Lytechinus pictus: one gene and its partners. The protein of the gene in region 3 purifies or fractionates together with the protein of the main gene of each other region. This does not show direct contact. Links are inferred from orthologs where the notes say so. Each region holds a gene or a part of one and is shown on either strand. Other genes may lie near its edges.

The links.
Region 1: the proteins of vesicle-fusing ATPase-like (region 3) and gamma-soluble NSF attachment protein-like purify together in Homo sapiens (affinity purification with mass spectrometry; 3 studies listed by BioGRID and IntAct, with this or other methods). This does not show direct contact. The link is inferred for Lytechinus pictus from reciprocal best matches to the Homo sapiens genes NSF and NAPG.
Region 2: the proteins of vesicle-fusing ATPase-like (region 3) and syntaxin-6-like purify together in Homo sapiens (affinity purification with mass spectrometry; 3 studies listed by BioGRID and IntAct, with this or other methods). This does not show direct contact. The link is inferred for Lytechinus pictus from reciprocal best matches to the Homo sapiens genes NSF and STX6.
Region 4: the proteins of vesicle-fusing ATPase-like (region 3) and sec1 family domain-containing protein 1-like purify together in Homo sapiens (affinity purification with mass spectrometry; 3 studies listed by BioGRID and IntAct, with this or other methods). This does not show direct contact. The link is inferred for Lytechinus pictus from reciprocal best matches to the Homo sapiens genes NSF and SCFD1.

Annotation. Positions count from the first base shown.
Region 1 is NC_087246.1:25,046,193-25,054,309, forward strand, and holds the start of gamma-soluble NSF attachment protein-like, read right to left. Parts: upstream 3,348-8,117; 5' UTR 2,871-3,347; coding exon 2,812-2,870; intron 2,179-2,811; coding exon 2,111-2,178; intron 1-2,110. UniProt on the Homo sapiens protein: Required for vesicular transport between the endoplasmic reticulum and the Golgi apparatus.
Region 2 is NC_087259.1:2,726,091-2,734,012, forward strand, and holds the start of syntaxin-6-like, read right to left. Parts: upstream 3,447-7,922; 5' UTR 2,966-3,446; coding exon 2,931-2,965; intron 1-2,930. UniProt on the Homo sapiens protein: SNARE promoting movement of transport vesicles to target membranes. Targets endosomes to the trans-Golgi network, and may therefore function in retrograde trafficking.
Region 3 is NC_087245.1:20,381,561-20,390,036, reverse strand, and holds the start of vesicle-fusing ATPase-like, read right to left. Parts: upstream 3,318-8,476; 5' UTR 3,276-3,317; intron 3,260-3,275; exon of another isoform or gene 2,964-3,259; intron 2,016-2,963; 5' UTR 1,964-2,015; coding exon 1,955-1,963; intron 1,354-1,954; coding exon 1,265-1,353; intron 1-1,264. Other genes in the region: superoxide dismutase [Mn]-like, read left to right, coding at 5,507-5,812, 6,187-6,287, 8,119-8,282.
Region 4 is NC_087251.1:20,937,503-20,946,363, forward strand, and holds the start of sec1 family domain-containing protein 1-like, read right to left. Parts: upstream 3,702-8,861; 5' UTR 3,654-3,701; coding exon 3,623-3,653; intron 1,265-3,622; coding exon 1,194-1,264; intron 369-1,193; coding exon 280-368; intron 1-279. UniProt on the Homo sapiens protein: Plays a role in SNARE-pin assembly and Golgi-to-ER retrograde transport via its interaction with COG4. Involved in vesicular transport between the endoplasmic reticulum and the Golgi.

The DNA of each region.
Region 1 (8,117 bases), on a different chromosome or scaffold from region 3:
GACTCTCCTATACACGGGACCAACATTTGCGTCCCCCCACTTTTTTCCAAAACTGTGTACAAAAACGTAAAAATGACCATAGGATTGTGATTTTTTGCATAGTCAGCCCCCAACTTTTGGCTCAGCCCCCCCCCCCACTTTGAAAACCGTTCTGCGGCCCCTGCATATGGTAACAGTAACGATAAATTCAGTTCTACATGTATATACCTAGATCTATTGCATATCATCTACCATTTTCTTGAGGTGCTTCCAAATCCAAAGGTACTTGGATAGAATGGTTAATTACATAAAAGAAGAGGCAGAGAAAAGAATAGATTCCAAATACCATCAAGAGCTAGCCAATACTAGAGAATCAATGGATCCTGCATCCAGAACTGAACCTTATGGGCAATTCCACAGGTTGGTGGACATGAGCTTAAAAATTCAAATTCAATATTTTCTTGAATTTTTTAATACTTTAAGTCCTTCATGCATGATAGTTCCAGGAACAAGAAATAAAAAGTTTATTTTCATATGTATACTTTGGAAAAAAATTGTCAAAACTTGTGTCTTCCATTCTGTACCAAAATACAAGAAAAATAGTGAAAAATGAAATATACCTTATTACCATTTTGTTATTGCAACAACATACCACTTTATATATTTCTGAAGTTTAGAAGAGTCAAATTACCTAAAATACACAACAGCTTTTCAAGTAAATTTGTAGTACTCATTCAAAAATGAATATTGCAACCTGCTCAGGTGATGTAACGTGAGTAACCGAAAAAACTGACTTTGTTTTCTGAGAGAAAAATTCTTCACAGTTAATTGGTGGGATTTTAAATTCTCTTCCTTCAAACAATCTTTGACACAGTGATGACTATCAAAATCATTAAAAAGTACAATTTTTTATAAAAATGATGAAGAAAAACTGTAACGTGAGTAACTTTGTAACGTGAGTAACCATCATGTAATGTGAGTAACCACTAAAAATTATGCAGTTGGGTAACATTTTCTGTGGGATGTCAAGTTTTAAGTCTCATGGTGAGTTGTGAAGTTATTTTTGATTAATTAAAAGCAAAATGAGGGTACACCTCTTTGATGTGACTCTTTGTTCATCAAAATATCAGTGGTCATACAATCACACAAAAAATTAAATGTTAGTAGAAGTATTCACAATGCGAGAGTGCATTAGTAAGACTTGGTTTCGATTAACCAAACTTTAAAGAGTGTTCGAACAACACATTGAATGTCCTTACCTAACCCTATCTAGGCTGGGGTATTTTGGGAGTTAATATGGCCCCGGGGGGGGGGGGGGGGGGGGGGGTGGGTGGGGCCTCCTAGGCCCCCCTTGAGATCTCGGCCATTGGCCGCACGATCATGCCGAAAATTTGCACGCAGGTTGTCTTGGACATAATCTACAATACTATACAGTAATTTATTTCATGCAAATTGGTATTAAGCAATTATGCTAATTTATGCATAATTAGTAAGCAAAATCATACTTTTCCCTCTTACTCCCTAATAAAGCTCCAATTGTTCCAATTTTTTGTATAAAATCTCTTTTTGATGTTCCTAGCAATGAATTTTACACACATTATTGAATTTTTAATGACATTTGTGTTGTTAACCATACATGGACAAAATGTAACATGAGTAACCGTAACGTGAGTAACCACTTTATCTGCACCCCAAGTAAAAACCATGTGTTCTTTATTTTTTTGATTATGTACAAAGTTTGTCTCCCTAATGTACTTCTTTGAAATGGATATAATCAACTTTCATAAAAGCCTTGTATGAGGAGACTTTTCACTTATGTCGACTTTTCATTTTATGCATGTCCAAATCATGTAACGTGAGTAACCGACACATTCCAAAGATTTGCCAGGAGCATAATAAAATTTCCCAAGTTTTTTTTTATACAAAGGATAGTCAGACTGTGTACTTTGTTGTGATATTAAGGAGATGTTTAGTTCCTATCAATAATAATGGATTTATAGCTCCAAGTATGAGTCAAGGTGTCTCCAAATGTAACGTGAGTAACCGTGGAATAGCCCTTATCATATACCGTACCATAATCTTACACTGATGATCATTTTTTTATAAACTATAATTTCATTATTATACTTACCAGCTTGTTCATATTCATGAGCTGCACTGCCAAAGTCTGGTTTCCATTTGAAGAATGACGTCTTCAAGCTGACGTGAAAATCAAAATGAATCACAACAAAAAGAAAACATGGTAATTTATGAATTAAAAGAATAGAATAAATCAACAAAGTGATCTGAAAGTTGAAACTCTGAAAGGAGTTGATTCACAGAAAGAGAAAGAACACTGAACTTCTGAAGCATGCATCACATTTACTTAGTTAGACTAGAGTAGTCTAGATTGATGCTGAAAAATTATTTGAACTGCAAGTCAAAAATTACTTAATAATAATATGCTCCAAGGGGCCGCACCGAGCCTTTGAACTCAAACCCAGCCAGGCCGCCTCGGGCAAACATTAGATACTATCGCAGAGCCAGAGTGCATCCGCTCGTCTACTTTATTTAATAACTTCGAGCTTCGCAAAGCGTAGGCAGCGATCCTCAATCACGGCCACGGGGAACTAGCCGTGGCAGGAAGTTACACACACGGCCAGCAAGCAGGGTCTGCCGTACGGTATCAAGAGAAGCAAGAGCAAATGAATGAAAATGCTGGTCTTCGAAGTCACGGATTGACGACAATTTTGCATTTATTGATACATCCAACAACATAAATACACATCAAGATTCTGCACTGATAACGGATCAGTAGCTATCAAATTAAAGAGACAAAAGACACACAATTACCTCTTTTCGGCCGCCTCAATATGCTCCTTCGCCTCGGAGATCCTTCTTGCATCCGCCATGATTGTAATGATTGTTTTCGTTAGTCTGAGGTCGAGACCGATTATTTATAGAGAAAGGTGATTAATATTTGGGATGACACCGAGCAAGCATCCTATAGTTGTTGTTTTACGAGCGGTGCATATCCCCATCGATTCGCTGACTAATCATGTGGAACTGATGACGTGGAGGGAGGTAACGACTGGAGCTGAAATATCATCAGTTCGATGTCAGACGGATGCCTTCCAGCTCATCATTACTAAATCAACATCACGATCCTTGATCCTTAGGCCTTGTATGGATTAGTTTTCTACCGAGGCCTCACCGTACCGAGGTGCTACAAGGATAATGAGGATGATTCTTTTATGCTAATCAGACAATATGTTAATAATAAACGCCAAATCCTCTGTGCGAAATGCATACAGTGCAAGAGAGAGAACTACCGGTACCCTATGTAAATATACACAACAACAAAAGTAAGTCCCCCTTGAACAATCATCAATAATTTCCGAACCAGTGCGAGTTTTTGATATATTTTTACATGAGCGTGTAGGAAATTTTATAAGCTACCATCTGAGTAAATGTTGTGGACATATTTTACGTCATGCTTCAGTGAGCACCGTCAGAAGGCAAAAATGTCACTTTTCGAAAGTCACAAGCCAAATATCATGACTTTGATTCCATTTTAATGGAACTGATTCCGCATTCTCATCATGAAAAATAGTCAGAAGGCTTGTAAAAGGTACTTTCTAAAAGACGATACAACTTTTTTGGCTAAATTTCACGGTTGAATAAACACAAGTCCAAATTTGCTGTAATTTGAGTTTTTACACATTTTTATCAATAAAAATGATAGAATATGATGACAATAATTTTTGGGAAGAGTATCTTCATCAATATTCATCATTTCACGATTCAATGAACATTTATTGTAAACAAAAAATACGATTTTCAAATATCATAGGCAAGTATTGTTTCATTTTGGGAATTGAAACTGATCTTTTATCAACTTGTTCGTTATGTTCATGACCAATTAACATGCTTCAATGATTCAAAGGCGCTTAATTAAACATTCACGCTTGAATGAACATGTGGAATGTGATTAGCTCTTTTTTACGTTATTGGAAAAAATGCAATTTGTAACTATGGATATCTGTCACAAACCTCCTTGCATGGTTCATTTGATTTGATTTTTATGAAAATCCCGATGTTTAATGCATCAGTGAGCACACGATATTCGAAAATTATGCAAATGAGAAGAAAGTTCAAGGCCTTGGCCCCACTCTGTGCCGTATCGAATTGTTATTTTGGTGTGCGCACCTTTTGGATAGCCGTTACTCTGAAGCCATGTGCGAAGTTTCATGAAATAACTGTCGGCAGAAGTAACAAAAACCGTCCATGAAACAAACCCTTATTTCATATTTGTTAAAATTTTGACTTCATCTCTCATAGACTTGTGTACATTATGGGTGCATATGTTTAAGAATAAGTAACCCCTTATTCAATATGGTGGAACTTTTTTTCAAGGCTGTCTTTAGCAATGTCATTTGGCAGCAATGTTTATCAACCTATGGGCAGAATTCTGTGCAAAAATGAAATCGATTTGTTCATTTATGGATGAGTGAGCAGTGAGCACGCATCAAAGTGGGAAAATTGGTATTTTCAATGTCACAGACTCATTTTAAAGGGTAATAAGGTGAATATTGGGGGCAAATTCGGTTTCAAATGTGACTTTAATTGCTGTTGTTTTTGTCATCAATAATTTCTATCACCACACACTTTCCGAACTTCTAACATTTTCATGGTTGAGCGAGCACATTCGAAAACTTAGGAATGAATACTCTTTATACTGCATAAATGTATTCTTTTCCTAACAATTTCCCATGATGAGTTTAATTTATGGACAAATAAGGGGTGGATCCAGAATTTAAAAATGGGGGAGGGGCCTATAATTGGGGGAGCCACCAACATTTTCAAATGTTAATATGACCTAACAAGTTGTAGAGGATACTACCAAAACCCCATATGATGATACGTCACAATACAGGGGCCACGGAACGGTTTTCAAAGTATGGGGGAGGGACTTGGGGAGGGACGTAGCCAAAAGTGTGGGGGGGGGGGGGGCTGGCCATGCAAAAAACACAATCGTATGGCCATTTTTACATTTTTTTTACATGCGTTTGGAAAAAAGTGGGGGGTCCCCAGCCCCCCCCCCCCTTACCCCGCTTCTGCGGCCCCTACAATATTGTGCTCACTCAACCATGAACATACGATATCAAAATTGTGTGTGGAGTGGCTAAATGATGGATAGTAAAATGGCATTAACACCATAAAATGCACCTAACAATAACTTTTGCCCAACTTTGTATTTGCAAAATCTGAAAAACGACTCTTGTGACTTTCAAAAATGGTCATTTTTAATTCAATCTTTAATTACTCATGCATGACTCAACTGATCAATCTCATTTTCCCCTAGGAGTTGCTTAATGAGTGTAGAAAACCACCTATGAAATATCATATCTCAAAATAATTCCGTTCAAAAGTTACAGCAATTTGATTTAGGGGGGACTACTTTTTTTGTTGTGTATATAAAGAGGGATAAAGATCTTCTGGTTTAACAGAACAAAGCAGGCCTACAACATAACACAAACTATGGACATACATTTCAGGAAAATCATGCATGACAATTCATAAAAAATAGCTATTTCACTTGCTCTCTCTCATTTCAAAACTTAAGTTAGGATAAATATAAAATTCATTCATACCCTGACCCATTCCACTTCAAATTTTTACTTTGTTTATCACAAATCCACAGCCACAACATCATATCCGGAGGATATTGGTTTTTTTTTTTTTTTTTTTTTTTTTTTTTTTTTTTTTTGGGGGGGGTATTGATCAGGACTATAGTATTGATCATTGTCCACCACAGGTCATTCATCTTTGCTATCACTGGCATGCATGCCCCATCCACCCCCCCCCCCCAAAAAAAAAAAGTTTCACGACCAGGACAAAAATTATAAAAAGACTCAAGAAAGAAAATGACATGACGATGATAAGATCACTTTCTGAATATTAAGTTTTATCACAAAATCATTTTCATTTTAAAGAGATTTTCATTTTAAGAGATTTTCATTTTAAAGAGACTGAAAAAAAAATGCTCGCTTACTTCGCTCGCTCTTGATTTTTACAAAATTTTGTCACACCTTGTGCCACCTCATATTTTGTGGTTCATATCGCTAATCATTGCACTATACGGAGATACGCTCCACGTTCCGATGATAAAAAAAAAGACCTTTTCACCCCCTCCCTTGCGCGCATCATTAGTGAGACACATATCCTCTAAATAAATTTATTTATTTATCTATTTATTTATTTATTCATATTCCATAAATTCTCAAAGTACATTTCATAATAAATCATTTACAGTAGAAATATATCACCTGCATGTGCAGTTTTGAAACGTACAAAATGAAAACAAGTGGAGGTCCTATAACGGAAGGGGGAAGGGGGGGGGAGGAAATGAACAACTAGGGGAAAGAGGAAAAGATCCCGGGGAAAAGAATGAAAATGGGGAAAGGAGAGAAGACGTGAAGAGAGAGAGAAAAAAAAGTAATAAAAGAGCTGGAGGGGGAGGCGCCAATTTTATATACGACCGGGGGGCAGCAAATTTACCTGAAATGAGGGGACACCTAATGACCGCAAACTCTGGGGGTGCCAAATTTATGTTCGATCCTTGGGGCACCAATTTGAGGTTTGACCTGGGCGCGCCAAATTTATGTTTCAGAATTGGGGACGCCAAACTCGTGTTTTTTAGGTTCTCCAGGTCAGATTGGAATTAAGTAGATACCTATCCTATATGAATGGTGTTCCGTTGGTAGGTCTGAATCTGAACAAATTTAGCTCGCGCTTCGCGCTCTCATCAATTGTTGGTTATCTATCATGTTTATATTTACAAAAAGTACCAAGAATGTCCAGTTTTCAGGCCGGAATATCAAAACTTTTAAGCTCGAGCTTATTCCATTAATTTCTCAAAAAAATGCTTTTCAGGTCTGATCGACAACATTCGGCTATATAGCCCTGCACGCTCGCATTTTGATAGGCGTACCTCTCTGTCTATAACTACAATCCTGTTTTCATGACAGTTTTATCACAAATTTTGGCTCGCGCTTCGCCCTCGCATTGATTGTTTGAATGATTTGACCCATGCATCCTGATCATGATTTAAAAAAGTGCCTAAAAATAATCCTGTTTTCAGACCTGAATATAATAAAATTCATCCTTTTCATGATTTCCTGTAAACTAGTCTTTAAATTGTCCCTTTTTCAGATCGGAATATCATTTTTTCAGCTCGTGCTCCGCGCTCACATAATTTAGGTTGTATAAGATACCCATCATTTTCATGATAGCAAATGTGTTTAGAATGCCCCGTTTCTAGGTCTAAATTAAAAAAAAGGAAAGAAAACAGCTCGCGCTTCTCGCTCGCGTTGTTTATTTAAAAACACAGCTGGTTCTATAGAGTTTCAGATAAGAATATCAACAATTTTAGCACACGTTTCGAATTCGCATAATTCATTTAGGAAAATAGGCCTATACCCATCCTAATCATGTGTTTTATAGGTCTAAATCTGAAAAAAAAATTAGCTCGTGCTTCGCACTCGTTGGTTACATGAATTATCTTATCCTGTTTATGTTTACAAAAAGTGCCTATATGATTTATAATGTCCAGTTTTCATATCACAATTTTTAAAACGCGCTTAGCACTCGCATTATTAATTGTTGAGATATGTATCGTCTCTAAGAGTTACTGCAAAACAGTCTTTAAAAGGTTTTTTTTCAGGCCAGTATATTAAAAAAATCAGCTCGCGCTTTGCGTTCAAATCATTTAATTATGGATTATGAGATACATTTACCTTGTTTATATTTTTAAGAATAAAGCTAAGAAATCACTATATACTACGACTAAGTAACACCTTAAAAAGAATAAAAATAAAAAATAAATCAGCTTTTAGAGGCCGATAGGGGAATTTTTTTATGAAAACAAGGCGCCCCCCTATTGGTGAAAGCTGGATCCGCCCCTATTTCTATAGAATCATGTTAGCAGGAGCTGTAATTTCTTCAAAAGTCGTTTAAGAATATCCTTTGGAAATCATATTCATACACGGATATTGTTTTTCATGACAAAACACATCATTAAAAAAGTGGTCTTAACTCTTATGTTGCCTTTTTTCCAAATGTGATTATGAAATAAGATAATTCAACACGCTGCATTT
Region 2 (7,922 bases), on a different chromosome or scaffold from region 3:
AGCCCATGTCACTTTGAAGAAAAGATAAAATAACCTTAAATTAAGGTAGGGCCTATTTTATCTCTGCAAAATTCATTTCAGCAATATTTTAGTTGAATTAGCTCCAAATGTTAAAATGAAAATTTAAGAAAAATTATATTGTTATTGAGAGCAAAACCTTAACATTATTCCTGCAGAATTGGGAATTATTTCATAAGACTTTTCTTGACTATTACAATACTGTCTTTGAAATGTGATATTGACATCAACAAAAAAATGAGAGTTTCGTCACTTTTTGGTAAGTAATCTCTGTAAAGATGCGCTAGTGTATAGCGCAAGCATATTGGAAGTCAATCAATTGATCAGTCCTGCAATTGATGCAATCTCACTCCTTTTCAGGTTGAACGAGATGAGAGAGTAAAAACCACTTTTCTCATTGGACATTGCTTCAAGAATAGGTTTGTCTTACAAAGATAAAATTGTTCTCAGAATACCAATTTGGAGAGATTATAAGGGTATTCTATCTCACTGATTTTAACGGAGACACAATATTTTATTTTATCTGTCAAGATAAAATAAATCTAGGAACGGACATAAGTCTAAGATGAAAATGCTTATGGATGACAACTTTAAGGTACTTTCTACTTTTATTACATGCTGAATGAAAAAAGGTATTCTAGGTCTATTTTCTAAAGTAATATAGAAATATGAATTACGATTACGATATAGGCCGAGTGTTTTTTTTTAAACCAGCAGTATTTTTTTTTCAAAAGAGAGGATAAAATACTGCAAATAGGGATCATCATCAAATCCTCCCTTAAAAAATATCCGTCCACCCTCCACGCAACATGCATGCATGTAATTTATAAGTCATTTTAAATAGTCAAGTTTGAACAAGCACTATCAGAAGGAATGCCCGGAAGTCTCGACAGGCTTGCCTTCTTCCGTACACTGATGATGATGTGGACCAAAAGCTTCGGTCTCTGTTTTATTGGTTGTTCCGCTGAACTCCGTTGGCTCCACTCACCAATTACAGAGACCATAGTTCTAACTCGATCTGTACAGGGACTCAATGGCCATATGTCTATGTATCATAAGTTCGGAAAAACCATTGAGTGGAGTTGCACGACAGTCAAAGTAAGTCACTGTTTTTTCCCCTTTTAAGTTAATTTTTTTCCTGTTTTGGTGCATTTCAGGCCAAATAGGATAATAATCTTTATTTTGGCCCAGTTCTTTTATATCTTTTTAATTATGAAATAAAGACAAAAATCGATGTTCCCTGTCGGGGGATTTTGAATTGTTTACCCCCTAATGGCGGCTGCACGATCGCGAACCGGCGTCTGTGTAAGAGGAGAAAAAACTAACATGAACTAGGTCTTGATATGGGTCTTGTGATTTGACAAATTGTTCCACTGGCACTACCGTATGGGTACTAGTATTCAACCCGGCATAATTCAAAGATTTTGACATATTCCCCAAAATATTTAGAAATAGGGAATTTATCTTAATTTCATACCTTTGTTATGTCCAGGGTAATCTGTTGTCGGTATTTTCTTTATCAATCTGTCGACTGTATGCGCGGAGGATCGAATTATGCGGCGATGGCCTTTTGCACTGAATGGTACTAGTATTCAACCTAGTGAGGATTGATAGCAAATCTCAAAAGGGTTTAGATTGCTAAATTAGATCTAGATCTATGTAAGTCTCTGGCTTTGATTAACTCCCTGTTTGGTCTCATCTCAAATGGTCTAGTCCATAGTCGGATGGGACAAGGGCAGATTGAGAGACAGGGCCATCTTTCATCGCTAGGTTGAATACTAGTGCCGACGGGTTGAATACTAGTACTAAAATCCGTCGCCGTATAATTCGATCGCCCGCGCACACAGTCAACTGGTTGAAGAAAAAAATAACGGAAAAAGAATAACCAGCATTTGCTCTTGGAAATAAGACGGGTCTGAAATTCAGGTAAATTCTATATTTCTATATATTTGAGGAAACTCTCCAAACGGGTTGAATACTAGTATGGCAGTGTATCCTATTGCCGGACACCTTTATTTCAGTGCTTTAAAAATGACAACTAGAGGAAATACAATCAAGAAAAAATCACACTTGCTATTCCAAATATTATGAAAATTATGAATATGATAAAATTATTTTATATTTACCAACCATTTTCATTGCGTCGCAGTTGCCGCATACCCCTCCACGAAAAACAATTATTTTCGTGCGCGACAAATTACATCATGATTCCGGACGCGCGCCGGACGGGTAAAGATATCCTTGATTATAATGATGTAAGAGCAAATTTGTGTGATTTTTTTCTTCTTATATCATATCATGAGTAAATTCTAAGTATTATTTGCTTTTTTATATCGAATCTGAGCAGATGTTGGTAATAAATTCGTGTTTGACAACTTATTTTATTTTGTCTTGTTAGCTGCATGTTCCATGGCACTTTCCAATAATAATATGCTCGCGTTCGTATCGTGACGCTCATCAAGTTCTATCGATGCGCTGCCGATTGACGGCTCTACTCACGGTAAACCTCGCGCACGGGGGTACCTTGAGAACTAGCCATCGACGATCACCCGGCACAATACACCACACCTCATCATTCGATCGAAGGAGTGGACGAGATTGAAATTCGGCAAATCAGGCCCATATTTCCGTTAGAAAATACATCAATTGTTAATACAAAACTAAAGTCTATGTTATAGGCCCTATGATATTTTAAGCATTTTCTGTCATTTTTAGAGATAATTAGGTAAAAGTTGGATTTTTCGCCTTGTTTTTGCAATCTTGTTCTATGTATTGCTCTGTGAAATTGAATTGCGGAAGTCTTACGGTACGAATTTGTTTTAGAACGCAGTAATACGCGCGTCCGGAATCATAATAGTGTCCGGTAATACAATACGTGACTATAGTCTATACCCTGGCCTTACGGTACTCACTCTTTCACAACGAAGAAAGGATCTTCAAGTGACATGACTCCTTCAGTTCAACACAACACAACTGAAAAAAAAGTGAAGTTCTAGTTGGGAGCCTCTAAGTCTAAATTCTGACGGAACGTTGTACGTCGTTAGAATTCAGATCTTAAAAAAGTAATGAAGAAGGGCTGAGCTGAGCTACAGTAGCAGATAAGACCACGTTGACCGGTGTCGCTCGGAGGTCGCGCCTACGCTCTCCCGTAGACTTGCCGTGTGTAGCCGCAGGTACCGTACCGGTATTGCCTATTGGTAAAGCAATGCTTCAAATTTCTCGTCACGAATATGTGTAAACAAGGTTCAAACAAAGGTAGATGATGTAGAAATATCCATAATTTTCAAAATAAGTATGTAAATTAACGTATTGAATACTTGAACGATTGCTCTCCTCGGTGAAAATTCCCCTAAATCCCTAATATTTGTTGATGACACGACTCCGAAATAACGTCAGTTCTACATCTGTGACTTGACCTTTGATTGTACGCATGAGTGATGACGTCACAAGGAGAGGGATTTTCCCCCACGCCACAATTCAAAACAAAAACTTCATTTTTTTTCGATGATATTCTTCTTCGTATAGGTTGAACCGGACACCCGTTTTTTTTTCAAATCCCCCTTTTAACATATTTCTACATTTTCAATGCATTTTAGTCTAGAGACTAGACGTATATGTGGAGGCCAGAAATTAGTTTATATTGAGAAAGGGACTAATTGGTTTAATAATTCTGATGAAGTTTAACCCTTTAATTTTTCTGATTACATTGTATGCTTGCCATATTCGATATATAGATAGATAGATAAATGGTTTATTTGATAAAAATCATACATCATGGCGGCCAAGCCAAATTGTGATGCATTTACATATGAATTAAAGAGATTGTAATAGAATGCCCTGACTATTTTTTTTAATTCAGAATTTTTACAGTGCCAAATAAATGATTAATAAATAAATAGTTATGTCAATCTCTTTTATTTAATTCCTATTATAGGCTATCCTGCTATCCCAGTTTACTTTTTGTCTTAGTTGTTCCTTACCGTATCAGGACATCTACCCCCGGATATCCACCCTCTAAAAATTGAACCTCAAGGACATCGATCCACCCCCCGGACAAGTACCCCCTAGGACATCTACTCCCCGGACATCTACCCCCGAACATCTACCCCCGGACATTTAATTACCCCCTGGACATCTACCCCCGGACATCTGCCCCCCCCCGTACATCTACCCAATGACAGTTTGCCGGATTTCATGGAGAGGATGCGTATCTCAGCTAATAAAATCATGCGAGCGCGTAGCGCTGGATAAAGATTTTTTTCTTTTCAGCACTTTTTAGTGAGCATGAACATGATGCGTATCTCTCTTAAACAGATAATGAAGAAATCGAATCGCGAGCAGAGTTATTAGTGCATATTGACTTTAAAACGGGATATTTAAAGCTACATGTTATCATATTGAGCAGATTAACATCTCATTCAATTGGCAATGTGAGAGCGAGGCGCGAAATTGTCATTTTTATACAATCACTCCTGAAGACGGACAGTCAACCTGCCCGAAACGTCGAGTCTCTCTACTGCTTCTGCTCTTCATCTCTACTCGCCGACTCAAGCCAGCACCTCCTCATCCATCCTACTACTCATGCTGTTTCAACTCATCAATCTCTTCTGGTTTACAGTCCTTTTCAGGACTACATTCAAGAAAGATTACCCTACTCTTAAATTTCCACTTTCTCGCCTATCCATTTCTTCTTTTTTTTTCTTTTTCTTTTCTTCTTCTATGGTACTCCACATGGTGTACCGTAAACCACATCAGCAATCACATGTAAGTTTTCCAATTCTCCTCCCTTACTTTGTTCACTTTTCTTCCTCTGCTTACTTTTCTTCTTGTAAGTTTTCTTCTCTCCTCCCTTTTTTCCTTTTTTTCCCCTAGTAGACTTGTTAAGAAGTTGAACGCTTCATTTTTTAAAAGTAAAAATGCCCCGCTTGACAGAAATGTTCCTTGGGTCAACAGAAAAAGATTTATCCAATGAGATACTCTGTATTTATGCAAATAATTAAGTTATTTGCACATTTATTATTTATCTTTAATACATGCATATGATGAACCCAAACACCTCTAAAATTTGACACAAAGACATTGAGGATGAAAGGAATCAAAATTGCGAAGAAATATTTGGGGGTCTCCCTGCATGTACCTATTTTACACAACTTAGAGTATTTTCACGTATCCTGAACTATTTATGTGGAGTAAATCATAATGGAAATATATCAAATTGATCAATTTATCAATCTTAAAAGAAAGTATTCATAAAAATAAACTTACTATGTCACTCCCAAATTACCATAAATGCATTTGACCGTTTTTGATATATAAAGGTACATGATCTACAAAATACAATTAATTCCTCCCATATCTCATATACAGCTCAGCTCCAATTTCTCCTTCCTTATTCAGGCGATATAATAATTATTATAATTTTTTTTTTCTCCACTCACCTCTTTTAGATTTACCACTTTTGCTTATTTACATGTATACTATGGTTTCTTCATAATACACCCCCTCTCTTCTATATTTGCTTTTACCTTTTTAGGCAATTTGCTTCCTCTTTTTCACATATACAGTTTTTCTTTCCCCTACTATATAGTCTTAGGTTTTTTTCCCGTCACACCTAGCGGATTACAATATCAGTTACACCATATGTGTATTTATATATTTTTTCATATACATTTCTTTTTTGGATATATTTATATACATATCACTTATAGATACATATTTACACTTACCTTCTTCTCTCAGTTTGTTTATGCTTTATCATATATACTTATATGTCTTTTGCACATTATCAGTTGTTCCCCATTCTTTTCCTTTTTCCCCCATTCTTATACACCAGTTTACTATGCCTTTCTTTGTAACCTGTTTGACCCACCTCTCACTAATTCTCTTGTTATTCATCTCTTCCTCATACCCTCTATCACTGTTTTGTTCCAGATCCTGTTTGATGTTGCCTGCCTCATTATCTTAATCCCTCTTGGCTTGAGGTCTTTTACTGGCCTTACTTACACTAACTTCCCTTTGTGTCTGCCTACTCCTTTTCTTTCACCCCCTTCACTAACCTGATTGGTCTTCTCTACTCACCTAATGCCCCTTTTGTCTCCTTATTTCTAGTGTTGCTGTAGCTTGTCTGTGGTCTATATTATGGTTGTTCCACTTTAAATGTTTGTCATTTTGCCTCCGACGAAGATTCTGCTAGGATCGAAAGCTTAGGCCCCTTTTGCCTTTCTAATTTATTTTACTCATAAAATACAAATACATTACTTGGTTCGACCCTAAGGTGGATGCAAGAAAGAAAACCACTTACGATAAAAACAAAACAATTTGTATACATGAATTACTGCCTAATTTGCATATTTCAATCAAATTAGTACCAAAAACACATATTTTTTTCATGATATTGAACTATTTATATGCATAAAATTAGGATAATGTAAAAATGTTAAATGGGCCTAGGTAAATGCTACCATATATTTTTTGTATATATGCACATTACCTCTCATAATGTATGAAATTATTGAATTTTTACGAACAAAACTATACATAAAATTATTTATTCACCCAAATCATATATCTTACTCCGTGAAAAAAAATGGCTCGGAAGAAATAATGTGTTTATGCAAACCACTATTCAATTTGTATAATTTTGTTTATATTATTCATATGCATTATAATTCATATCATTGAAAACAATTCAAATTCCGAATTACTTTATGATAGGAGATACATCTTACCTCTATGTTAGATTTATTATCATTTTGTTTCTTCAAGGGGGCGCCGTGGTCTAATGGTTACAACCCTTGTTTTTCAATCAGAGGGACGTGGGTTCAAATCCCATCCTTGGCGTGTTTTCTGTCAGCAAGAATTTTACCCACGTTGTGCTGCACTCGACCCATGTGAGGTGAATGGGTACCCGACAGGATTAGTTCCTTGAATCATCGACCTACTACTGATGCACTGAGCGCTCAAAGGCAGCTCGAACTAAAGCCGGGCTAATCATAATAATAATAATAATGATAGTAAACAATGCGCCTCGGAATAGATTATTTCTAGACAGATGGCGCTATATAAATGCCTATTCTTCTTCTTCTTCTTCTTCTCATTATTATTATCGTTATTATTATTATTATTATTATATTATTTATACCATGCAGGAGCGGATGATTTAACAGACAAGGGGGGGGGGGGGAGTTCATCCATACTTTACCCGATCTGTATCCATTCATACATCCATCACATCCTGTACTCTTATTATCATACTTTTATCATATCACCTTCTGTGATAGAAGTATATGTCATTCAAGCAAACGTGATACAGACGGTTTACCTGGTTTATGTACCACAATTTCAAACAAGGCTGAACATATACATACATCCCTGCACATACATACATACATACATACACACATACATACACCCACACACACATACATATACATAAATACATACATACATATTCATATCATTTTGCCCGTCATTTTGAAAGTCTTTGTATATACGTGCCACTGTGGCATTGCAACCTTACGTTTATGAAAATCCATAATATTCACAAATTTCCTACATGGTTAACAATGAATTTAAACTTTCCCTTTCAGGTCAGTATATCATAAATTTTAGCTCACGCTTCGCGCACATTAAAGGGGAAATAAAACATTTAGAAAATTAAGTAGGCTTGTGTCAAAACAGAAAAATCAAAGAATAAGAACAAAGAAAGTTTGAGAAAAATCGGACAAATAATGAGAAAGTTATGAGCATTTGAATATTGCAATCACTAATGCTATGGAGATCCTCCCATTGGCGATGCGACAAGGATGTGTGATGTCACATGTGAACAACTTTCCCTTTGATGGACTATAAAATACCCTCAAAATGTCTCTTTCTGCTTTTTCTTTTGGTGATACAAACTCTTT
Region 3 (8,476 bases):
AATTCAATGGTAAATTTATCATGGAATGAAAACTTGAAAAGGGAAAGAGTAATAAAAATAATTGAATGAGAAAAAATAAAACAAAATAAATGAAGAATAATTAACATTATGTATTGCCTTCTATTATAACCAATTACAATTACAACTGATTAAAATTCAATTGATTACGATTATATTATAGAGCATTTTTCCATGCATTTTACCCTCTGAATAATAACCAACTCTTTATCATGAAACAGTGTTTTTTTTATAAAAACATTACTAAATTAAAAGTAATAATGCTGATGATATATAGAAACTTTGTAAAGGGGATCTTTTATTAAAACTTTACACAATACATTTTCTGTTTTTAGTAAAGGTCAAATATTGATATTAAATATTCTGTATGTATCTTGGATGTTCCTACAGCTTTGTCTTTGGAGAAACATGGTGTCTTGACTGAGGCTGAACTGTGGTCTCTTTGAAGAAGACACACCTGATTTTTAAGATTTTATTTTAAAGAGGGAAAAGGGTGCAATGTATTTACCGGAAAATATGGTACATCTTCCTTAGCGTTTAAAGCAAAGTATCACTTCACAACAGGTAAAAATGTTTAAAGTTACTTTCTTATCATCACTGTTGTTTTATATTTCAACCATTATATTGCCATCACATTAAATGTCATGTGATGTAAACATATTGAAGAGTATTAGAAAGCTATGAATACAAATGTTGGATTATCAAGGAAATTGGGTAACAGACCTATATGTAAATGCAATTCCCCAAAGACAAATGACTTTCTTTATGCTGATGAAAGGGTACTTTTATTACAGCTTAGGAGGCATTATGTAACTTTTCTGTATGCATATGTTATTTCAGTTCTCTTTTCCCCAGTAAACATATCCACTTTCTACAAGCTTACTCTGTATGTAAATGTTCAAGTACATACTGTATATTTGATTCCTCTTCCTTAACCTAATATCAAAAGAAGCCCTATATGTATGTCTAGCTCAAAACTGCCAATTGATATAAAAAGACCTTTAGAGGTGCGAAAGACAAGTTTTTACATGATAGCTAAAAAAATTTGTTGCAAAAAGAGTAAAATTCAAATTCCTATGCCTATCTCTGCTTAAAATTATAATAAGGCTTCATGTAGGCCTACATGTATGCTACCGATTTCAAAAGCATTATGACTCTGGCCAATGTTCCAGGCCAATATTTAAGCTAAGCATTAATTCAAAGAAAACAGTTTGGAAATGTTGAAAAGAAAAAGAAAAATACTTACTCAACACGTGCATAAGCATCTCTGTCTGATACAACCGCTCTATTTGTCAAAGAAAGCTGGTCCGTTGGACAACGGACTGCTTTCAGCTCCTGCAAGAAATAAGGAAAAGAAATCAATCACACCTTCTTAACAAAAGCAAATGAAATATGAAATAGCTATTTACTTCAGCAATTATTCTTACTTGAAACATGAATATTGCTCCGCTGCATACATGTATGCTTGCAATAAGGCTTCAATGAGTGTAAGCCCCACCCCCCCCAAAAAAAAAAATATATATATATATCTATATATGTATATCGTATAAATAAATATATATAGAAATAAAGTTTAAAAATTAATTAAATAAGTAAAAACAATTGGTAAAAAAAATTTATCAAAAAATGAACATAAATAGTCAAAATAATGATAAAAATAAATAAATAATAACACTAATAATTCTGTCATATTAAAACTAATAAAATACAAAAGTTCAAGTGGGGATATGACATCATCAATTTGCTCATGGAATATTCATGAAGACAAGTCTACATGTATAATTATTTCACCGGAATAATGTAAAACTTTTAAAATGTCATAACTTTGTTATTCCTTGTCCAATTTTGATAAAATTTTCAATATTATGTTAGTCTGATTTTCTTTATCTGTTCAAATCATATTCTCAGCCTGGAGTATCCCTTTAAGTTTACTCACCCTTGACATTTTGGTCTTACTCTGATGCAACCTTTTTTTAGATTAGCCACTTCAATCTACACTGCAAATGAGACAAACAATTTATCAAATTTATAGCTGGAATCATAAACAAAGGGGTGTTTACAAAAATTATCTTTCACGATTAAACTGTAAACAGTAGTAAAACTAAAAGAGAGGCAGGAGTTGACAGCCCCGCCATACCATGTAGATCTATGTTTAATGCTCCAGCAGATCTAAATCTATTTAGCCTAACAGCAATATCATACAATGCACATAAGGGAAAATATGCTTCTTACCAGAACCACACACAAAATTTTGTTTAAATTTTCACCTCAAACTTTTTTGATCGACTCACACAGGTGTAGCCAGGCGGCTTCTTGAGAGTAAATATCATTTACTAACGTAGGCTTACTCTAAACGAAGCCAGGGAGTCCTCCCTATTCATCTGCGTGTACCGCAAAAAACCCTGAAACTTTCGCCCCCGAGATTTCTACTTTCCTTCTAAAAGATCTAGCTCTAAATCACGTACATGGGATAAAACTTCATTTCCGACATTTCTACGCTCTTGTTATTTTTAAACAAGAATTCATCAAAAAAATGAAAAAATATTGTGAAAAGATGGAAGAGACTTGCCCGATGTTTACGCCGCCATCTTGTTTCTTATTGTACTTCCCCAACGTTACGGACGCGAGCGTCATGTAACGTTGGGGAGGTACACGCAGATGAATAGGGAGGACTCCCTGGCTTCGTTTAGAGTAAGCCTACGTTAGTAAATGATTTTTACTCTCAAGAAGCCGCCTGGCTACACAGGTGTAGGCGCAGCCAGCCCAGACATCTTTTTTTCACACACCTCTTTCTCTTATTCAAAAATTTAAAATTTGAAATTGAAGAAGTGTTTTGCAAGTGCTATTATTATACTAACGTAAAAACGATCTGGCCTGTACCATATACCATAATTAGAAATTACCACGTCTCTCAGTCTAAAAAAAATCTTGAATGAGTCACTCACGCACTCGACGGCCGACAGCACATCACAGTGGACGTGGACCAAGCTACGTGGACAGCGCAGCGGGACTCGGTCTCGGAGCGGAGTCTTGGGGACACAAGTTCTAGCACCGTACCGTAAGTCGTAACGTAAGCGACGATTGTGAAATCTTGCTCGCTTCCAAAAGTGGATTACAAATTTATTATCCGACTTCAATTCATGGATTAACTTCCTTATTTGAAAAGTAATAAATATCGTTCGACTCATGCATCTACTACATAACCACATCATTATAAATACAGCTAATTTTGAAATAAAATGGGGCGTTTTACTTACCTCGAAACGGAGATGAGAATATTTTGTACGGTGGCGTGCGATTGAAAATCCAAAACAAAATAAAATAGGGGGAGGGGCCGGGGATTCGGGTTGAGGGGCGGTCGAACGCACAATACCTTGGTCACATTTGCTCTACGGCGGCCGTACGGTGAGTCGAAACAGCCGTTTTATTAATTTTAATTCAAACCACCTATATGTAGTTGGTACAAAAAAAATTAAAACGGCTGTTTTCGACTCGCCGTACGGCCGCCGTAGAGCAAATGTGACCAAGGTATAAATGACAATTTATAATTAAATCTCATGGACTTTTTGATAAATCCACTACAGCCATAGTGTGGTTGGTGACCATTCAGTCACTTGGTTTAGATTTACTTCTTAAAGATTTTAATGTAAATCATCAGGAGTTGAGCAAAATATTTAGGATTCATATCAAAATCCAGTGGATTTATTTTAGATACCTCTAATCAGGGAGTTGAATTTAGCTCAGAAATAAAGAATTGAAATTATATTGTGATCATTTAGTAATAAGTCGCAGAACGATTTTAAAAGGGGGTGGAAGGACCCGGAAGGACATGCACACTATCTCATTTTGAATACTATTTCCACGTTTTGGTAAGCCTACATTATAGCCCCATGTTTACTGAAAGGTGGCTTGAGACGCCGCCCTATATAGCTATAAATGTTGTGCAGGGTGAGCTCCGCAGTTTCTCCGCTTCATAGGAAGAATTTAAGTAGAGTTTTAAGCTTATTTCATTCATTTTCCTAGTATTTGCACCCAGTGGCAAATCAAGGGGGATGGGGCATTTCCGGCTCGTGCCCCATCCCCCTTTTGAGAGTCAAAGTTAACATATTTAATGGGAAGTAAGGACATTTTCTTCTTCTTTGTCTTCTTCTTCTTAATTCTTCTTCTTCTTTCTTTCTTTTTTTGGGGGGCTTGTCAAATTTTACACGAGACACTATGACCTTCATTTTTAGGGACCTTGGAAAAATGCTCCCCTCCCCCTTGGAAAATTCTGCATCTGCCCCTGTTTGCACCCCTTCTGAAAGGGGAAGAAGGGTACAGCTTTAGTGTTTTTCCTTCTCTTTTTTCAAAAGAATATAAACCTAAATGAGACATTCTTCTCTCTCTTCAAACAAAATTTTCTTTCGCGCTCTGTGCAGGAAAATCAGTAGGCCTAACTTTGCCTTTCCCTTTGTTTTCCACACTCAATTTTCTACATACATTACATTGGTGTAAATTATCATAAAAAGTATCTTTTTAATTGTATCGACACAAAATTTCTGCTCTTCTGGTCGAAGCTTTGAAACACTACCGCATTCGAGTCCCAATGTGCTATTTCTTCCGCTTTTTAAGCAAGCAATATTGGGCAAGTATCTGCTCAAAGTGACATACATGAAATCCCCGGCTGTGCTATATACCGGCAAAACTGTAGGTATATATATGTATATAAATATATATAGTATATACGATGAAACTTTTTTCCATATCGCGGCACATCAATCCCATGTCTTATTTTGCCCCATCGATTTGAAATTTTGAATATTTATTTATAAATATTTATGATTTATGAAATTTTTCTAATCAGGTATTTTTTTAAAACAAATCACAGAGGTTCACGCGTGTTTCGTGTGTCAGTATAGAAAAGGAAAGATTCCTCTCCGAGCATCACCCCTTTCCCATTTTTAGCTCTTTTCTTCGTAAATCGAGTTTAATAATCTAAGAAAAATGAAACTATGAAATGAATTAGAGCAGGTCAATGTTTCAGAAAAACTTCTCATCTTCAACGCTATACCCATCGAGACCCCGTTTTGCAACTCTGTGGCTAAATATTTTGCTATCGAATCTGATCTGACCAAGATGCATTTTATACCACTAAATGAATGCCTTTTTCTGATTTTTTTTTTAAAACCCTCCCTGCACCCCCCCCCCCCTCGCGTATACTTACCGCCCCTATCCTGGCTATATAGGCGGTTTTATTTACAAACATAAATACACAAACAGCAGAAAGTCCTCCCTCGATCTATCATTTCGCTTATTTTCTTCATTTATACAAAATTTATACAAATGAAACTATATTTTTCAAGCAACAATAAAGGTACAAGCAGATGATTGACTTCCAGGGGGCATATTTAATTTACGCTTTGGTAAGATTTTTTTTCCAAGAAAACCTGCCCCAATCTAATTCGGATTTCACTTGTTATCAATACAGCAGTTTTGTGCATGTTGACCTATGCGTGGAAGAAAACATGCAATTTTTGCACTTTCATTCAACACAATGGCGTCTGCTTGCTACGTAGAAAGCAAAATGTTGGCAGTTTTCTTCATTTTATATATGTGCTCAAGCTGTTATTGCATTTCTTATCCATTTGAGTGTATTGCAGAAATGAGATCAGAGTATGATTTGCCAGATTTGCCTTTTGATTACGAAGATTTAGAACCTTACATCGACAGTGCAACTTTGAAAGTGCACCATCGCGGCCACCACGCAGGCTACACACGCAAACTCAATGCAGCATTACAACTGTGGAGAACTGAGGTGAATACAACAATCTCAATAAATAACAGAGAGTCTCGTGTAGAGAGTTTTAATTCGTGCGTATGGGCCTATGAGTGTATATAGCTTATTTGGGGGAAATGAAAAATATCTGTATTTTGCTTTTACTACTACTATAGTATTCCACAGATGCAGTTATCAATCATGACTGCACAGTTGCAGTTTTTAGAATGATCTATCTACCCAAGTCTGGAAATAATTTTTTTTTAACTAGATGGGGTTCCCCTTTAAAGGTTTAGTCAAGGTTAACTTAATTAGGCCTAATATTAATACTGGATTCCCATCTTTATAAACCCAGGACAGATCTACATGTATTTGAAAGAATTTATTTGTTTCAAATGTTCTTTAAATATTAGGAGCCAGACAGCTATGTAGCAACATCCATTCTCAACCTGTTGAAGCATCTGGATGACATTCCTCCCAAATATCAACGCAACATTAGAAACAATGGTGGTGGGTAAGTTAAACCTACTTATCACTAAATATCATGTCTTGTTTTTATTCAGCTCTAACCGCTTCGGTGAATAAAAAGACAGAACAGAAAAAATTGTTCAAACCTATCTAGGAGTGAGTTGTTCATTAGGGTTCAATCACTGGCGGATCCAAGGGGGGGGGGGCAAAGCCGGCTCGTGTAATGTTTGTAATGTAAAAATGCTGTTAAAACAGAAGTGTGCCCCCCCCCCTTTTGAAAATGAAGACCTTTTTTCTATTATTTTGCTTAATTGTCAAACTTTTTTGTGGACGAAATTTCTTTTTGGTTAATTTTTGGAACATCCTGGATCTGTCCCTGGGTTCAATTATGTAGATCATAATCTAAATTGATGGTGATGAGAATAATGATGATGATGATGATGATCATAATTAGGGTGTCTGGAGAAAAAAATTATTTTTCTTATTTCAAGAAAATATCACATTTTCTTTGTGAATTTGAAGAGAAATGACCTTCAGACTGACAGAAATGTAACATTTTTGAAAAATATCCAATTATTGGCTGCAAAAAAGAAGAATGAAATTAGGTAAATTTTCAGCATTTCTCTGCCATAGACTGTGTAGTTAAGAAATGGACACACACAAATCCAAATTTTTAGCTTCCGAGAGCTGTTATAAATTCATTATTAATGCCATAAACTTGTCCATAAAGAGTCCAATAGGATTTTTTATGCTCTATCTGATGGTACAATTTTTATAAAGATTTGGAAACCAGATCACAATGAAAAATTGCGACAAAGTGAAAAAAATTGTGCAAAACAGAAACTTCATTTTCCCATAGAAAACGCATGGAGAAATGGCAATCTCAACACACACAAAAATAAGGGTTTGCAATTTATCTCTAAATCCTTATTTAAAATGATCATATAAACTTGTCCTTACTGTCAAAAGAAGCCCCTGAATTTTCTCTTTCCATACATGCCAAACACAAGATAATAATCAATTCAGATCACATTTTTCTAGTAGCCTGAACTTCCCCGAAAAAATGTGCCATATTTTCCCCTAAATCAGCCTGTTTTATGCTGACACTTTTCAGTGTGGCTTCAGACACCCTATCATAATGATGATCATGATGGTGATGGTAATGGTAACAATGATGATGATCATGATGAATTGATAATGAATTATATATAGTTTTGCTGGTTCACAATAAATAGGGCATATTTTATGAAAATGATACTGGTCGCAGCTATATTAAATAGAAAATTTGAATTTTGAATTAATAAAATAACTTAGAATTAAGATAATGTTTATGTAACAGTAAGGTTAAAAAATCTATTAAGTACGAGAACAGACAAACACCACTTGGTCAGCTAACATGCTGACAAAGGCATGAGTCAGCATGTTTGCTGACTCATATCATGCAGAGACTCATAAGGCATAAGTCTCCATAGAATGGCTCCTTATTCCCCCCCCCCCCACCCATCTCATTTCTCGTTTTTCTATATATCATCTCAGTCTATTTGCCCATGGTTTCCTGTGAAAAATGTCATGTAATTTTGGTATCTGAATTTGGCATCTCTGAATTGGTCACATACACCCCTGCTATTGTAATATGGAGTGCCTTCCAGTCATTATGATGGGCTATCCCACCGCTGCCACCACTTAAAATAAACTCAAGTTATATGACTTTGATTTTATTAAAACAAAGTTCATTGAGCAAAGCGCAATCTTCTCAAATACCTGATGCTAGGTGGGGTCAGGCATTACAACACCAGTGGTGCTACAACAAAAGGTAGAACATGATTCTTATGCGTATTATGATGCTGATCAATACTCATTAATTTTATCGTTTGCAGGTTCGTGAATCACAACATTTACTGGTCAACGATGGCCGCCAACAGGGACAATGACATCCCCATGCCCTCTGGAGATCTGCTAAGTGAGATAAATGCAACATTTGGAAGCTTCCAAGAATTCAAGAATCAGTTCACCAGTCAAGCTCTTACACTGTTTGGATCCGGTAAGTTTAAACAAACTTCTGAAAGAAAATTTAAACCAATACCATACATCAGCACCAGCTCAAGACAGAGACTGTTAACATAACTTCTGGCTGATGTTTTATAGAACTTTAGCTTAACCACAAACAACCCCACCCATAGTCATGGGTTATTAATGGGCTACAAAGCCCCCCAAACCCTGCCACACTAATATCTA
Region 4 (8,861 bases), on a different chromosome or scaffold from region 3:
CCTGCAAGTCTTTTCAACTGGAATCCTGCCAGCAATCCTTAATCATCATTAATCCCTGACATTTCATAATAAACCAAACATTGGGGAATGCAGAAAAGTTAATGTGAAAGGCATTAACACATTTGTATAGGTAAATTCATGCTGAAACAGCTGGAACTGACTTTTGGTAATTTGCCTTAATGCATTACTTGGCAACAAGAAACATACATGTAGTCAATGTTAATTCGTAATTCTCTGTGATGTCTAAAACAACTGAATATCAAAAATATATGAACTCACAAGTGAAGTGTTACTCCCATATCTCTGAGCTCCTTTACTGACAGAAGAGGAGATATAACATCTTGGCCAAAGCGATCATATACAAGAACCTGTAAACACATTGGTAAAGTTGTATGTTGATACCATTTAGTAGACCATCATGATGATGTTCACAGGCATGAGGATAAGAAATAATAAGTGGATCAGAAGAGATTGGAAGAAGAATACAATATGATGATGAAATGATCAAATAAAATATAAACAATCAGAACAGAAGGTACTTCATTATTGTATTTACTTAGAGATATACTTTTGGGTGCAAAGAGGGGATTTTTCATTATTTATATTATTTATATTTATATCACTTAAAAAAAAAAAAACAACAACAACCAGCAAGAACTACTGGTAACAACCACTTTTTAAATATTTAGATTTATATGACACCTAGATAGATCATTGTCATTTGATTGGTTGTTTGATATTGGTCATTCAGCCCATTTACAATGACATCATCATCCATGCAACTTTGGATCTATTCATCATGCAATTTAGGATCTATACAATTTTGTCAGTTGCACGCGTGCACCCAGACTGCAGGCACCACAAATAAATCACTCGTGTTTGCAGCACACATGTTGTATGTACGCGACAATCAACAGACCAAGCTTGCACTGCGTGAGCATATTTTGCATTCATAAATTTCATATGAAAAAGAATCTGTTTTTAGGTGTCATATAGACCAAATAATGAATGCTCTTATCATTTGTGCAATGGACAGAATACTTCATTCAGTGAGGCGTAAATGGATCATTTCATCTTTCACCTCATAAGAAATTCTGTCCATTGCACTCATAAACATTCATTATTTGTATACTAGAGGATGATTATTTGTAGGTGTGGGTCAAAAGCAATACTCATTAAATATTTTGTTTTACCTTCCATGCTGGTTCTGCAAGTGAAGCTTTTGTCGGAACTGCATTCAGATTCAGCATTCGCTTCAAAGCAGCTGGTACAAAAATAAATAATAATAAATTAACATTTTTAATTCACCTCGCTTCATACATGAAAAGTTTTATAATATGGTACTGCTATTTGTAACAAATTGAAAATCATTTATCTAAACATAAATTTTTAGCTGCATAAGCAATTTAGCATTATTATTCATGACCAAATTCTTACAAAATCCACTGGGATGTGCTCTACTAGCATTCCATAAGTCTTACAGTTGGAATTTGATTCCAACTTAAATTTGTTTTAAAGTAAATCACTAAATGTTTTAAAAGAGAAATATATAAAACTTGTTTACTTGGTCAGAATTATTTGCATTGATATATAAGCTCTTGTTGGTATTATAGTTTGTCTAGGGTTTGTTCGGCTTTTAGTTGTCTTATTTTTACTGGAAATAATTTCTGTTATTTCAATTTATACCATTATGTTAAGTATCTTGGGTTGGCGTTTATAAGGTTCGTCCTTTCTTGCCACTGCCTACACTCATGTTCTTTACAAATTTTATTGCAGGGAATAATTTTCCTGGTATTGCATCGCAATTTGCTCCACAATTTTTAAAGACTGCTATGTATAAAGTTTTTTTAAAGCATATATTTACATAGGACTGTACATTACTTAGTTGAGAGCTTTTCTCTTATGACCAAAAATGCTATTCTTTTTTTAAAGCAAAATTTTACCTATATTGTGTATTATATTGTATGTTTATATGTTTGTTGATTGCTATTATGAGGAGAAAATTGAGTAGAATCAAAGTAATAAACTCGAAAAGAAAGAGAGAGAGTTGAAATAAGTGTAAATTTAAACTAAAAAAAAGCACAAAATAGCCATAGACCTACTATTCATTTTAACTTACAAAAATTAGACAATTGAAATAAATTAGATTTCTTGTTACAAAACAGTATAATAATAAGCTACAGACACAGTAGGCCTACCGATACAGAGTTAAGTGAACCTCAATTCAAGAAAACAAACACAAAACAAAATTCAATTCTTAAAGTAGGGTGTCTGGAGAAAAAAATTATTTTTCTTATTTCAAGAAAATATCACATTTTCTTTGTGAATTTGAAGAGAAATGACGTTCAGACTGACAGAAATGTAACATTTTTGAAAAAAATCCAATTATTGGCTGCAAAAAATAAGAATGAAATTAGGTCATTTTTCAGCATTTCTCTGCCATAGACTGTGTAGTTAAGAAATGGACACACACAAATCCAAATTTTTAGCTTCCGAGAGCTGTTTGAAATTTATTATTAATGCCAAAAACTTGTCCATAAAGAGTCCAATAGGATTTTTTATGCTCTATCTGATGGTATGATTTTTATAAAGATTTGGAAACCAGATCACAATGAAAAATTGCGACAAAGTGAAAAAAATTGTGCAAAACAGAAATTTCATTTTCCCATAGAAAACGCATGGAGAAATGGCAATCTCAACACACACAAAAATAAGGGTTTGCAATTTATCTCTAAATCCTTATTTAAAATGATCCTATAAACTTGTCCTTTCTGTCACACACACAAAACACACACACACAAAAATAAGGGTTTGCAATTTATCTCTAAATCCTTATTTAAAATGATCCTATAAACTTGTCCTTTCTGTCAAAAGAAGCCCCTGAATTTTCTCTTTCCATACATGCCAAACACAAGTTGATAATCAATTCAGATCACATTTTTCTAGTAGCCTGAACTTCCCCGAAAAAATGTGCCATATTTTCCCCTAAATCAGCCTGTTTTATGCTGACACTTTTCAGTGTGGCTTCAGACACCCTACTTAAAGTTAAAAGATCATGAGGTGCCGAAGTCGACGTCTGTGCACTTTTCTACAACATTCTCCAAGCCCAAGGCCAAACCAAGCAAGGCAAGAGCAAGGTCGGAGCAGATGCCAGAGCTGCAGCTGGAGGCAGAAAAAGTAAGAAAGTAAAGAAAGTAACCCAGGGAACTCCCGCCCGCTGCGCGGGCGGGAGCCCAGGGGCTTACCGTGTATTTGACCATACTCACGGGACTAGCGTGATTTATGGTCTAAATATTTCTCCAAATGAATTGTGAAAACAGAATGTATGAAAAAAAAATAGCCTTCTTAATTACGAGGCCGAGACTGAGTCTGAGAAACAATTTAACAAATATGCCGCGCCGAGAGTCGAGAATAGCCACGTCACAACTCACACGAAAAATAATACATGGGACAACAGTCACTCAACTCGTCCGGTAATGTCTTGTCAAATTGGCTAACGTTAAAACATGGTGAACAAAGCTATGTTCATCTGAACATATTTGTTCCTATCATAAAATTATGCTATGATTATCCACATAAAATGTTTAGAAAAACTTACAAAGAATTTATTTTTTCAACTTACCAATCTGTTTTTCTCTGATGGACGCTGCCATGTCGTCAAAAAATTATTTTTAATAATGAAGTTGGCGACTATTAATGGTAGTGTCTAAAACATAACGTGAGAGAAAAAAAGATAAATAAAGCAAACAAGTTTTACACTGGTTTTACCATGTTTCCTCAGGGTAAGACAACGTGAGTTAAGGCCTAATTATTACTCTACAAAAGTGGAATACATGTATAAACACATCGACGGAAGATCGGGCTAAAGGCCTAAGCAAGCACGTTTACAAGGTTCATTAATTTCAAAGAAATTTGAGCAAAGAATTACACAAACAGTTTTTGAAAATCAATTCATTTTTTTTGCTATTTGCAGAATACTTGTAATTTGATATAAAAGTCATATTTCAAAACTCCATGTCCAGAAGAATTAAAGTTGATGATAAAAGAGGGTGGGGTATACCGGTATATAAGTTCTGTGAAGTGACTCATATGCTAACATTTCAGTATTCTTCTTGAATCAGGTATATTTCTTCAGTTTATGCGAATTATTAATAATTATAATATAGAGCATTAATGAAACGCCGATTATCTATTTGCCTATCAATGGCGCACAATAGGCATATATATATATCCCGGCTAGCTAGCTTCAGCTGGCTACAGGCGCATTCAAGGAATTGATTATATAAATCCTATAGGGCCTAATACAGCCCCCATAAGTCTATGGGAAATATGAGTTTCGAATAAACCTTCATTAGACCACCGGGTGCACATGGCACCAACATTTTTTGAACCGAGGGGGGCGGCGGGAAGATCAGTGATATGCCGTCTGGATTTATGGGGGCACCGGGGGCTAATGCCACATGGGCGGTGACGACTGCAATCGAGATCGCGATTCCGCAACCTGATATGTCACCCTTGGATGATAAATTCCAATCATGTTCTATATGCCGCTTTTATGTAGCTTAGAAGTAATCGGAGCGATTAATTCTAATTATTTTTGCCAAAAGATCTTTCAAGAAGTAAACTTTAGTTTTGCAGTGATACTTGGGGTTTTTGATGGGCACCGACCCCGTCTTGTACCGTATGGGTGAATGGGGAATCGGGGCTAAAACTTAATTTCTAGTATCAACGGTATACATAGTGCTCAGTGCCCGGTACACGGTTGCTTTCGAATATGACTCAATTAGGTTCCGCCGATGTCGGATCAGACAACAATAGGCCTATACATCAGGCGCGGCCTTGAGAAGCAAAATTAGAATTTGTAATGTGAAAATGCCATTAAAACATAGGTGTGCCCTCTTTTGAAATTGAAGACCTTTTTTTCGGGTACGAAATATACTTAATTTGTGGTTGATTATTTTTCCTCCGAAAAATTTGCCCTACCCCCTTTTGGAAAATCCTGGATCCGCCCCTGTACATATAGGCATACCTACTTCGCAGTTGGTTCATTATGTAGCAATGAAGGATCAGGGGTGACGCAAGGATATTTTAATAGGGAGAGGGGGCAGGCACGACGACCATTTTTTCTGACCTACTCCTCTCTCAGTTTCTTAATGCTCTTATTCTCCTTTCTTCCTTCTTCTCTCGATCTGTTTTCTTCTTCTCACTTTAGAAAAAAAAACCCGTAGGCCTAGTGCAAGAAGTGGTTCGCGCCCCTGCCCACTGTAGGCCTATGCCGCCCCGCCCCTACAGGCACTGGAAGATATTACCTCTGAATGTGTTTGCAACCCAACCAATTAAATAATTACGCCCATAGTGCTGCTCAGAAAATATATTTGATTCTCCACTGGCAAAAAAATCGTCACAATTAGTAAATCATGTGTTAACAGTCAAAACTACAATTTTCAAGAATTCCCTGTCAAGTAATGGAGATAATGGGATTATCTCTTTCTTTATTATTAAACAAAACGATTTATGATATAAGGTACAAAAGATCATCTATTTTTTAACAATCATATATTAGAATAGTAACAAGCATTGTCTGGTACAAATTAAGTACGTAAACAATTTAAACATCTCTGTTTACAATGTGAATCGCACAGTAGTTGTTTAAACATTTTAAACAAGTGTTTAAAATCTTAAACAACAGTTTAAATTCAAATATTTAATCATCAATAATATAGGTTTGATTGTTTAAGATTTTAAGCACTTGTTAAACAACGTACTACTGTGCGATTCACGTAGTAAACAGTGTTGTTTAAATTATTTTTAAGACTGTATTCATGCCTTCATGGAAATATCATATAATCATACTGAAGAAAGAAAATCGTATCATTTTTTTGTTGTTTTTATTCCCGTGGGATAAAAATATCATATAACATTACAGGCCTGTATTATTATAAAGTGTAAATATTCCAATCATTTTAACAAGAAAAGAAAAACGAAGGTGGCGAATCGATATTGTATAGGCCTACCCTTTTTATATTCTATCCGATGCAAGAAGACTTTTACTGTGAAAATGCAGGCATATGGATTGAAGATGTGAAAAAATGGATTTGATTTCATAGTCATATAAACTACAGGGAAATGCTTTGTATGATGTTATTTTTATTTATCTATTTATTTATTTTCCACTCGTGGGCTGGATGGCCCTCTTCAGCCACAGGCTGTTCTACTGAGGGGTCCAGTGGACACGTTTAAAAATACAAAATACAATGTACAAACAAATACATATATAAAAGAAAACATAAATCAATCCTAATATATACAAGGTAAGTTACGACTACAAATAACAACCTATATGGTGTTAATCAACATAATTATGGCATTCACACAATAGCAACCACTTTGAAACATTACCCTTTATAATAATTATTGTGTTAATTAAAAAACTTGATTTTGGAGGGGGATCACCATACTGTCACATACGATTTTTCTGGGGGGGGGGGGGCAAATGCAATGTTGCTTCGAAGACCATCGACACGAATCAATATTTGTGCGTTTTTCATATTTTCCCAGATTTATTTCATACGAGTGAAATCTATTGGTTTATAGGGCCTAATCATAATTACTGTCAATTCGACATCTCACCCAGTGGCGGATCCAGGGGGGGGGGGGTGGAAATTCGGCCCTTGCCCAGCCCCCCTCCCCCTCTGAGAGCCACATAGTCAATATTTTAATGTGAATATGTTGTTCATACACAAGTGTGCCCCGGCCCCTTTGAGAGTCACAGCATATATTTCGAATGAGAATATGGTCTTCATACACAAGTGAGGATCACCTTTACCTAGGAAACATGATGTGGCCCCACCCTTTGAAAATCCTGGATCCGCCCTTGATCCCACCGATCAGTGCCAAGGTCTTCAAAGCGAGAAACAAATTAATGTCACTCAACTTTCTCTTTTCTCCTTTTACAAATGCATCGGATCAGTAAACGGCGCGAGCAAACAAGAAGCCCTATATGACCAAAGCCGTAGAAAATATGAAAATCAGGATAACATCAATCAAATAGTATTGAATGATATTGAGCTCATTTATTGGTGTACGCATATAGGAGCCTCCATATTTCATCACATGTTCTAGCCAGAATATACCGGTGTCGGGTGGGGTAATGTCGTGATCCCTAAAGATTGCCGAAGTCCGCTGAATATTTTTGCCGTACCGCTGCAAATAATAATTATAAATAAAACGATAAGAATCAACTTCATGAGATTATGATGTAATTTGTTATAATATTTCATTATGATTTAAGACATCTTTTCTTCTGTTTCAATTCGTTTACATTTAAATCAAGAGAGAGATTCTCATATCTAAAAAGGTGGTATTGTTTGGTCATCTGCATATGATCATGATGATGTGCATGTATATCCAAAGGAATATGACAGATACATGTAATATATCACATACATTGGGAATTATTTAAACATCCGTTTAACTGTAAAGAATTGTGACCTGGAAGGCACTCATTTTCACAAAATGTTTTCATGAATCTTCAAGGAATTGTATTTGGGCTAACCATCATTCATGATCCGTCACCCTTAAACATGCTAAGCCCCGGTTAAGCCTATATCAAATATATTGTAGGCCACATTATTTTCGGTTCGTATAAAGCCAAGAGCCAACTAAACACATTGATTCCCATTGTTTTTAGTCCAAAACTTGGAATATAGCCAAAAAAGTTTATATATGTGTTTATCGAAAACGGGAATTAATCAAGACTACCAAACTCGGGATCCAACAGCCATGACAGTCATCAAGTAATTAATCCAACTTATATTTCAGTGTGATTTCCACTATAACATCTCCAAAAGTTAGCATATTAACTATTTAGCATTTTGCATTTTTAATTGAAAAGGCACTGTTAGGATAATGACTTTCGAACAAGCAGTAAACATATCGAGTAAAGGCCAAGTATTTGACAAATTAAAATATATAGTACTACTTCTACCTATCATTTGTAATGACGTCAGTCAAAGCGGAGTGGATGATATCGACACTGAGACTGAACTTGTCCAAGACCTTTCCCAGTCCCCTAGGGGTCACCCTGGCGGCAACATCGTGTTGGTCAACGTAGAAAGGGATGACGACCATGGGTACAGCATGGTAGACGGCCTTGTAGAAACCATTGTTGCCTCCTTGGTACATGAAGGCCCGTGTCTTTGGGTTACCTGATTGCAAGAGAATGGGGATGGGCATAAAATATTAGATCTCAATATGATTTTATTAATCCATGTCATATAAAAGCATTACATCCTACCACGAAACATACTCACTAGTACTGTCGTATTTAGTGTTTTTTTAATACGATTAGGTGTTGGGGCAACCCCAGCGCTTATCCCGGGGGGACAGATTTTGGAAGGGGCACAAGCTATAGAGCTTGCATGCCTGGGGATCCATTTTTTTGAGGTGTACCACTGGAAATCAATAATTGGTGAATAAACATATGCATTTATATTAGCTGGGTGGCACTGCTGACATATGGCTTTGAAATATTTTTTCAGATGTCCAACATCTTTCCCAGTAGCTCAGTGAGCCAAAAATTTGAGGGGGCACAACAAGTCCCGAGAAGGCGAAGCGAGCGAGCAAAACTTTTGACCTGTTTAAAATGAAAATATAATTATTATTATTTTTTTTTTGGGGGGGGGGGCACATTTTCTCCATTATTGATCTCTCTTTCGATCGGCAAACACCAGTCTATATATAGTTGTAAATTTTTACCTAGTAAATCATTTTGTGGTAGCCATAGCATGATTTTGACATTTCCAGGCAATTTATGATGTCAGCCCTGTCTCTGAGCTGCCATATTACCCTCTGGGGTAATC